2 linked regions of the Saccharomyces cerevisiae S288C genome follow. Changing the gene in region 2 together with the main gene of any one other region gives a genetic interaction. Each region holds a gene or a part of one and is shown on either strand. Other genes may lie near its edges.

Region 1 (4,601 bases), on a different chromosome or scaffold from region 2:
TAGTGTTTTTGGAAGAGATGCGCATGTCGTGGGAGCGGGTTATTCCATTGGAAGTGCGTTTGGTAAATGATACTCTCCAGTGCTTTTAAGCTTGCCCTTAAATCTTGTCTTCTTTGCGCCTTCTCGTACAGTTGTAGTGATTTTGTTAACGGCACGGCTATTTCTTTGAACTTGTAATCGCTTTGTTTACTTGTGAGTGTGGTCGTCAATGCTACCTTGGTTATTTGATGAAGCGGCGTAGACTCTATGACCGGCAGTAATAAGGCGTTAACCTGGGACGCCATTGTTGCTCCAAGTTCGCAATCGCTGTTCTGATAGAAGGCCTTTGTATGCTTGCTTTATGTCCGCCGCGATGGGGATTCTTCCTATTTTTCTACTGAAGGTGCGAAAGACTTCATTCTTCACCGCATTCAGTAAATGAATTTCATATATATACATATATACAGGTAGGATAACTTATGAAAAAAAAAAAAAAATAGAATAAAAAGTTATTGATGCCATCATTGGATACAGCAGTACGAACTTCTTGCTTTCTGATGCGCTGAATCCTGTGCTTCTGGCTTGAACGGCCTTATCCCTTCTGGAAGATCGTCCGTGTGAATGATCCGGAAATTTGATATAGTTTCGTTGTTAGTCAGGTTGCTGTCATCTTCAGTATTTACAGTCGCATGTGAGGCACAAGATGAAGATGACGGCAGATTCGTTTTTATTGCTAGTAGTTCTGATTTTTCATTGAACCAGTTATCTGGTGGAAATTCAATATGAACGAAAACATACAGATCGCCGCACCGGCCATGAGGGTTATCTAAAATGGGCCAACCTTCATTGGCGATTTTGATGGTGTCACCAGGTCTTACTACTCTGCCAGGTTTAACGCTCAATGTTAGTAACCTGTCGTCGAAGGTTTTTGTCAAAAATTTCTCAAATCCCGTCAAGGCCTCGCTTAACGATATGGTAATGCTTGTATACAAATCTTCCCCGGCGCCGTCGTCAAAGTTCTTCAAAAAGATTTGCTTCTGCTCCAAGTTTTCTTGTTTTTCAGTGAGATGGAACTTTAAATCACCACATGTGGTCTTATCGATTTCCTCGTCCGCCATCCCCTTGACTGTAATTACGTCGTTAAAGTGGTGTCCCGGAGCCACGTTCACTGTGATGATTTCCTTCTTTGACAGGAGCCCCAAGCCTGCGCAATCGGGGCAAAAGTTCTTTGGATTCTTGGGTCTTTTAGTGTACTTCCCCTTACCATTACATTTCTCACAGACCACCCATTGCGAAGCTACCAAACCGGGACCAAACCTCTTCAGACGTTCCTTTGAACCCTTTCCAGCGCATGATTCACATTCCACATCGTGTGTAACGTGAATTTTCCTCTTTGGTTTCCAGCCAGAACCGTGGCACTTTATACAGATGACCTGTCTCTTTAAATCAAACTTCAGCTTCTTGCCCATGTACAAATCCTTCAAAGTAAGAGATATATCGATATCGATATCCTTAGAGCTTGTAGAGTTGCCCTCTTCGTACGCATCATACTCGCCAGGGAAATTATTTCCATCGTGACTTCCATTATTGAAGAAATTGTTAAAGAAGTTCATAAAATCTTCATCTCCAAAGCCATTAGCGCCACCGCTGCTAGCGGCACCATTATCATCACCATACAAGTCGTAATGTGATTTCTTCTCCGGATCGCTCAAGATCTCGTAAGCGGCAGTGATCTCTTTGAATTTGATTTCATTTACCTCCTTTGAGTCTTGATCCACATACTTGTCCGGATGATGTTTCAGGGCAAGCTTTCTGTAAGCAGTTTTAATCTCTTGCACGGTCGCATCTCTCGTCACCCCCAACACATCGTATAACCGGTCTCCTCTATCACTGCCACTCATTCAAAACTACACCTGCGTACTTACTTTTCCCTTTCTTTTGGGTCCAAGCGGCATATCTCTTAAGATAAGATAAGCCTGACTCTTTCTTTGCCTCTCTGCCTTTCTTTCTTCTTCCCTTCTGCAGAGGATGGCTCGTCGCTACTCAAATCCCGACCCAAGAAACAAAGAAACAAGGATTGCACAGCAGAGCGCTGCCCCACACACATATATGCATATGTTTATTTACCGCATATTCGTGGCTATATAATCCATATATAATACACAGCACATTCATGATATAATCTTACATAGTAGCACTTCCCATTAGACGTTTTCTGCTTTTACAGTACTGGTTTTTTTTTCACTCTTGCGTCTTTTTTTTTTTTCATTCTGAAGGGGTCCAAGCCTAACGATTTTCGACCTTTCGTTGAGACAACTTCACGTACTCTTCTGACCTGCTGTGGTTGACGTATTTAGAGTTTGCTGCGCCCTTTGTAAACGATCGTGACCCGCGGACCATACTAGGAAAAGCTCTTCCGTTACTACTACTGCTTTCTCGCTATTTTACTCTAGTTGTTCATACTAGTCACACGTTGCTCGAGAACAGGACCAGCTTCTTTGTTTCTCCCCCGCATTTAATTGTTTCTGCTTCTCAATTGAACGCATATAAATATATTTCCCCAGTCTTTATTTTGCTCTCTCCACGATGTTATCACTGTCTGCCAAAAATCACTTCACAGTGAGTAATTCTATAACTCACGTTATTAAGTCATATCATATAAGGACTCTCACTTCAAGCGCAGAAAAAATGCCACATATCACTACTCCTTTTTCTACCTCAGCCAGTAGTACAAAGTTAAAAGCTTTCAGGAAAGTTAGACCCGTCCTACAGAGACATAGCTCTTCCTGGATTGTTGCTCAAAATCATAGACGTTCATTATCTGGTCAATCTTCGCTAAACGACCTGCGTCATTTGAATCGCTTTCCACACCACACGTTGAAAACTTCGAATAACGAGTTTTATCCCGCCGAACAATTGACTTTGGAAGACGTAAATGAAAATGTCTTGAAGGCTAAGTACGCCGTTAGAGGTGCCATCCCAATGAGAGCTGAAGAATTGAAAGCTCAACTGGAGAAGGATCCTCAATCTCTGCCATTTGACAGGATTATCAACGCCAATATTGGTAATCCTCAGCAACTACAACAGAAACCTCTGACTTACTACAGACAGGTCTTGTCTCTCTTACAATACCCAGAACTATTAAACCAAAACGAACAGCAGCTAGTTGATTCGAAATTGTTTAAACTAGATGCCATTAAACGTGCAAAGAGTTTAATGGAAGATATCGGTGGTTCTGTTGGTGCTTACTCTTCTTCTCAAGGTGTAGAAGGTATAAGGAAAAGTGTCGCTGAATTTATAACGAAGAGGGACGAAGGCGAGATATCATACCCAGAGGATATTTTCCTAACTGCTGGTGCATCCGCAGCTGTCAATTACTTGTTATCAATTTTCTGTAGAGGGCCAGAAACGGGTGTCTTGATTCCAATTCCTCAATATCCATTATATACCGCTACTCTAGCTTTGAACAATTCTCAAGCTTTACCATACTATTTAGATGAGAATTCAGGTTGGTCAACTAATCCAGAAGAAATTGAAACTGTCGTCAAAGAGGCTATACAGAACGAAATCAAACCTACAGTTCTAGTGGTTATCAATCCAGGTAATCCTACAGGAGCTGTCCTATCACCTGAGTCTATAGCTCAGATTTTTGAAGTCGCAGCCAAGTACGGTACAGTAGTGATAGCTGACGAAGTTTATCAAGAAAATATCTTCCCGGGCACCAAGTTCCATTCTATGAAGAAAATTTTGAGACATTTACAGAGGGAACATCCAGGTAAATTCGATAATGTTCAGCTAGCTTCTTTGCATTCGACTTCTAAGGGTGTTTCTGGTGAATGTGGTCAAAGGGGTGGCTACATGGAACTCACTGGATTCAGCCATGAGATGAGACAAGTTATCTTGAAACTAGCCTCGATTTCATTGTGTCCCGTTGTCACAGGTCAAGCTTTGGTTGATTTGATGGTTCGTCCACCAGTGGAAGGGGAGGAATCATTCGAGTCGGACCAAGCAGAACGTAACTCCATCCATGAAAAGTTAATTACAAGAGCAATGACACTGTATGAGACATTTAACTCTTTAGAAGGCATTGAATGTCAAAAGCCTCAAGGTGCCATGTATTTATTCCCTAAGATAGACTTACCTTTCAAGGCAGTTCAAGAAGCTCGCCACTTAGAGTTAACTCCGGATGAATTTTATTGTAAGAAGTTGTTAGAATCTACTGGCATTTGCACTGTTCCCGGTTCTGGGTTTGGTCAAGAACCTGGTACTTACCATTTAAGAACAACATTTTTGGCACCTGGTCTGGAATGGATTAAGAAATGGGAAAGTTTCCATAAAGAATTTTTTGACCAATACCGTGACTGAATAAAAGGGGGCAGAACAGTCTTCAATAAACATTTAAATAGCTAGTTTATTATAATAATGTGATCGTTTCTTTCTTCCACAACTCACATATAGTTATTTGATATTATCGCATCTTCGCTTCTCTATGCCATGTTTCCATCAATACTTATGTTTTATTTAATACATATTTGTATCAGTATATCATATCATTTCATCTTCTTTTGCTTCGATTTGTAATGTTTGTGCGTATAAAATCAATTGCGTAGTTCGAACACCCG
Region 2 (5,337 bases):
TTTAAACGATAGAAATTGAAGAAATGAATCTTGCTTGAGAGGTTCGAAATTATCTTTTGATAAAATATGTATGCTCTGCTTCAAACTCACGTCAGTTGGTAATTTTTCAAGTCCGAATTGCCTAGTGACAGCGGTAGTTGATGATAATCCATTCATGGTTTCAATAACTTTGAGGCAAGAATGGTTCTGGGATAATTGTATCAAGTTGGAGGAATCATGCTGATCAAAATGAAAGTTCCATTCAGACAAGCTCCTTAAAATCTGACAAGCTTCATTCTCCATATTTTGTGCTATCATTACTTTTAGACTTTTGACTAGGCATGGACTAAATAACTCCAACAATTGAATAGCTCTTTCACGCTCCTTCGAACCTCTTAAACCAGAATCCGGTACACATGAGGATAAAATATCCAACATACTTGTCCATTGGGAGGTCTCCACATAAAATGCCAGCTGGGATAAATTGGCTAATAATTGACCCTCCGAATTTTCCGCGAACAACCGCTGTATTGCCCTTAAGTAGTAGTTCGATTGGGATTTAACAATTAAAAGAGTACAATTCCTCAAAAATTTTATGTTTGCCCGAAATTTTCCTTCTATAGTTAAAGATTTGGTTTTAAGAAAATAATAGCGATCCAATAATTGCAATGAAAATTTAGCTAGTGCAATTTTGTCATTTGCGGACCGAAGCGATAGTTTATAGAGCATATTAGATAGCTCATGATAAAATTCCAAAGGCAGCCGATCAGGTGGGAATGCATCAATCTGTCGGCCACTTTTATTTAGCCATTTTATGTGACCTGTGCCAATACGATTCAACAACGCAAAATACAAAGCAGGATTATCGGATGTACGAAGCTTCTGTAGAGTAGTCAGTACCACATTTAATCGTAAATTTACATTTTGGAGCTTATCTTCATTCAGTTTATCTTTTCTTGTTAGCGCATCCTTCAACCATTTATCAGTTATTGAGTTAGTTCTTTTGTTATTTGGTAAACGTTTATGCGATGATGGCTGTCGCCCTAGCTGTGGTAGTATTTCAGGAGTGATTAAAGAGTCCTTAATCAGCTTACCAATATGACTAGACGAATATCTTTTAAAAAGTAACTTCATATTCTTCTTGGCACACTACTATCATTTTTTCTCGCCGTTTCTAGTAGAAAAGGGCAACTTTTACTTAAAAATCATACAATTGACTTACTTTTTTTTTTTTACACAGATACCTTTTTATTTTGAACTACGCGCAGTTTGAAAGAGGAAGAGATAATCCTATGATTACTCCAAAACCTTCTTCTTTTTCGGTATTGCCTGAGAAATGATAACACTTTTGGGTAACTTCCTTTTCCAGTCTGAATTTATACTTTCTAGTTTAGGGCCTTCGTTATTGCACAATATCTTTTTGTAATATAATCTCTCTAATTGACTTAAGTGTTTTGCAATCCAAATATGTTTGAGACCTTGCTTACTATTTAATCGTTTAACTACGTCAGTTTGCAAAAGGTCTTTGACAAAACTCTTGGCATTATCTGAAACAATATCCCACTGCTTCAGTTTGAAATTCAGCTTCCCAATTTTTGCATTTTGAATAATACTCCTCTCAGAACCATCTCCATAAAAAGGCGAGATCCCTGTTAACATAATGTGTGTAATGACACCCAAAGACCAAAGATCACATTTACTGTCATAACCTCGTTGCTCTAACGTAGCTGCTCTTGAGAAGCTTTGATATGCTTTTCTGTTTGCTCTGAATCCAACTTCTGGAGCGCAGTATTCCGGAGTGCCTACGACAGTATGCATTCTTTCTTTGTTGGAATTTAAATCTTTAGCTATACCAAAGTCTGCCAAGACGATTCTAGTGCACGGTTCTGGCGTACATAACAAAATATTGTCTAGTTTCAAATCGCGGTGAACAATGTCTTGATCATGAAGGTAGTTTAAAGCTTGCAAAATTTGAAAGACGATCAATAGCGATTCAGTTTCTGACATGGAAGTTAGACAGTCGCCTTTAGCTAGGTAAGAAAACAAATCACCACCAGGGATAAGATCCTGGAATATGTAAAGGTGATTGTTCCTGTCACAGAAAGTATGGTAGACTTTGATAATATTTGGGTGATCCAGTCTCAAAAGGATTCGAGCCTCTTTATCGAATTTATTTGGTTTTAGTTTAATGATCTTCACAGCATAATTTTCAGGGTGATAACAGACATCTTCATCACGTTCTTTTGAGTTATGCGTGATCAGAACATGACCGAAAGTGCCATTACCCACTATTCTATTTGTTATTTCCCATTGGTCTACTTCCCTCAGAAAACCCATTTGATCTAAAAGTTTTGGGTCCAGAGAAGATTGTAAATCATCATTAATCATAAAAACTAGTCGTGTTTTTTTAATGTCATTTTCTTCACTTCCCTGCGATAATTCAATAACGTCGCAATGTTTTAAAAGATACGTTTTGTCCCTTTTCAAAAGCAAACCGTTCAAATACGTTCCATTAAGAGAACAATCTTTAACGTAGAACATTGGAATACTATCCTCATCAAAAAAGACACACCAAAACACGCAATGAACAGAGGAGATAGAGGGATTCGTTAGAACGAGTTGACATTCCTTATCATTTCTCCCAACTTTCACGAGCTGATGCTTTACTATAGGTATTGTCTGCTCTGTATTATAGCCGCCTACATTAACTTCCAGGTGAGCAGGAGCTACGCCACCTGCCATCTCAATATCATCTTTGGTTGCAAGGTTGCAGCTATACAACGGTCTCATTCCGCTCTTCTTCTTTCTGTTGTATATTTGGTCCTTAATAAAATTTGAAACGTACAAGAGCACTCCAGAAGGAGCTCAAGTAAAAAATTAGTCAAACCTCTCCCTTTTATACTTGAATGAATGAAATAGCCGCCGAAATTTAGCCGCCATCATTCTTCTTTTCCCCGGCTAAATTACCACGGTATGCTTTATGATTGGAAAATACCCATAAAGTAGGAATAAACTACAAATGATTCCACTTAATGAAAGATAAGCAGACAAATATACTGCATATAAGTGAAAAATAGTGAGGAGATCGCTATCAGTCAATATTGTGAAGGACCTACCTACTCTTTTTCTAGATATATATTTTTTATTTGCACAGGACCCCTCTTGCATAATTGTTCCTACTAATACGGTAGGTAGCACACAATTTTACACCACTTGCTTTACAATCATACCTCATAGGGCCTTCTTATTCTGATAATGCCCCTTTTAGAATGGCTAAACTGCTTACGTCCCGCTTTCTTACGCACTGCGCGCAACATGCAGGAAGAACAAACAACCTCGCCCTGTTTCCATAATGAAGGTCCTTGAAATAGAAGCCCCACAAAAGGGTGGAAATGTGGCAGAATAAACAGTAAGCTAACTGTTGTAGAGACTCCAAGCCCTGGTAAGGAAAGAAATATTATAAAAATAAAAGATTTCAACACAGTATTTTGATGTCTGAGCCAAACACACCATTACATGCTCAACCGAATGAGCAACTGGACTTGAACAACTTAAATGATCTAGATGAAAAAGACATTGATGATTTAAACTTGGATCCAAACTCAGATGTAGAAATTAGTGCAGACTCAGGTGATGTCGTAAATTCTAACATAGACAACGTTATATGGCAGCGTAATTGTAATAAGAAAAGAAGATATCATACACCAGAATTCAATGATGTTTACAATGAAACTAACAACACAATCAACGACGTAACTATGCTCGATGATGTTGACGATTTCCAGCCTAGAATAAACGTGTCTTCTCCCTTTTCGTCTGCCACAAAGCTGAGTGAATTATTGCCAAATGATCACAATGGAACGTCACACCCGAGAAGATTGTCAATGTCTCAACAATCCAAATTCATCTCTTACGTTGATGATCAGCTTTTACAAATTCAAAGAAAATTTGTTCAATCCAGGGGCCTGAATATCAAAAACGGCTATGCCAGTCTTACTCCGCTGCTGCAGGATTTAAAAACTTTAGTTGACTTCGTTTGGTATTCTATTGCCCATGTTCCAAACTCAGACTATTTACTTCAATCAGAAGAAAAGAGACATTGCCCAGATTCCCGAAACCCAAAAGATACATGCGGATATTCTAGTTATTTTGGTCAAGGGTCCTATTTAATAAAAATTGCGGACGATCTCATCGATTACGTTGAAAAATTTACATTCAAAAATATGGAAGACTCAGAGATTAATGACACTTTATCCAAATTATTCAAACTCTTCTTCATCCTTGACAGGATATTTGTAATTCTAACTGATGATAATGATAATTGCAAAGAAGTCCCTAAAACGTCTTCAGCCAGCAAGAACATAGCAGGATTGAATGGGACTGATATTGTGAGGTTAAAAGGTATCGCGGAACGAACAAGAGTTCGCCTACCCATATTTTTGGAATCCCAGGGTATCCATGGTTACCATTATGAATTAAGCAAGATTTACGAGGGATTTTTAGACCATGCCAATTCATTTTAACATTTACATTCAACCAGTGGCGTGTATCTTTTATACAATAAATCTGTAACTTTTAAAACTTCTGTTTCCGAACTCCTCATTTTTCATGCATAAATATATAAATATATATATATATATATATAAAGCATACATTTCAGTACCATGGGGTATATGATCCTCCCATTACGTATTCTAAAGTTCGCGTTTTCTCACAATGCAAGTTTTTATATTACTCCGGAGAGTTGGCGCTTACTGATACAGCCTTGTATGAACTCAAGTCCAATATCACAGTGACATCCTTGGTAATCTTCGCCAAGTTGGCTAGGTTAGGTCTCAGCTCATTCAAATTAGGCACGTCGCTCATTACGATTTTAGTATTAGCCAGAATTGATATTATTACTTTTAAGAACGAATTCATTATCTCCCACGTTTTCAGCTTCTCCAAAGATGTCAGATACTTCTCTGAATTTGAATCGTTCGGTATTAATACATTTAACCTTTCATTCAATTGTTTGGATAAATCCATCGCTTGACGACATGTTTCCGTCAAATCACGAATTTTAGGTGCTAGCGAGTCCGTCAAAATTTGCTTTCCCATGGTGCTAGCAATGGCTATCTTGGATATCTCTGAAGTTAACTGGTTATATACAACGCTCACCATTTTAACTACTGTGGACAACGTTTGATACAGTTGAATGTCAATATTTGTCTCCACTACATTAGCACTACTGTTCGCGGCACCACCACCATTCATCGGTGGTGGGGTTATATTAACATTCGAGACGTTATTACTATTTGATGCGTTAATTATTGAAGAAGTCATAACCGGATGCTGTTTAGGTTCATGCGCCTGTGA

What was found.
Region 1: mutations in MEK1 (region 2) and XDJ1 together harm fitness more than expected from each alone (negative genetic interaction), as found in Saccharomyces cerevisiae (3 studies listed by BioGRID).

What each region holds. Positions count from the first base shown.
Region 1 is NC_001144.5:317,980-322,580, reverse strand, and holds XDJ1 (Xdj1p), read right to left. Parts: upstream 1,881-4,601; coding exon 501-1,880; downstream 1-500. Other genes in the region: GEP5 (Gep5p), read right to left, coding at 1-284; alanine transaminase ALT1, read left to right, coding at 2,566-4,344.
Region 2 is NC_001147.6:993,743-999,079, forward strand, and holds MEK1 (serine/threonine protein kinase MEK1), read right to left. Parts: upstream 2,770-5,337; coding exon 1,276-2,769; downstream 1-1,275. Other genes in the region: MNE1 (Mne1p), read right to left, coding at 1-1,113; TFIIH complex subunit TFB6, read left to right, coding at 3,471-4,502; SOG2 (Sog2p), read right to left, coding at 4,711-5,337. UniProt on the Saccharomyces cerevisiae protein: Probable protein kinase required for meiotic recombination.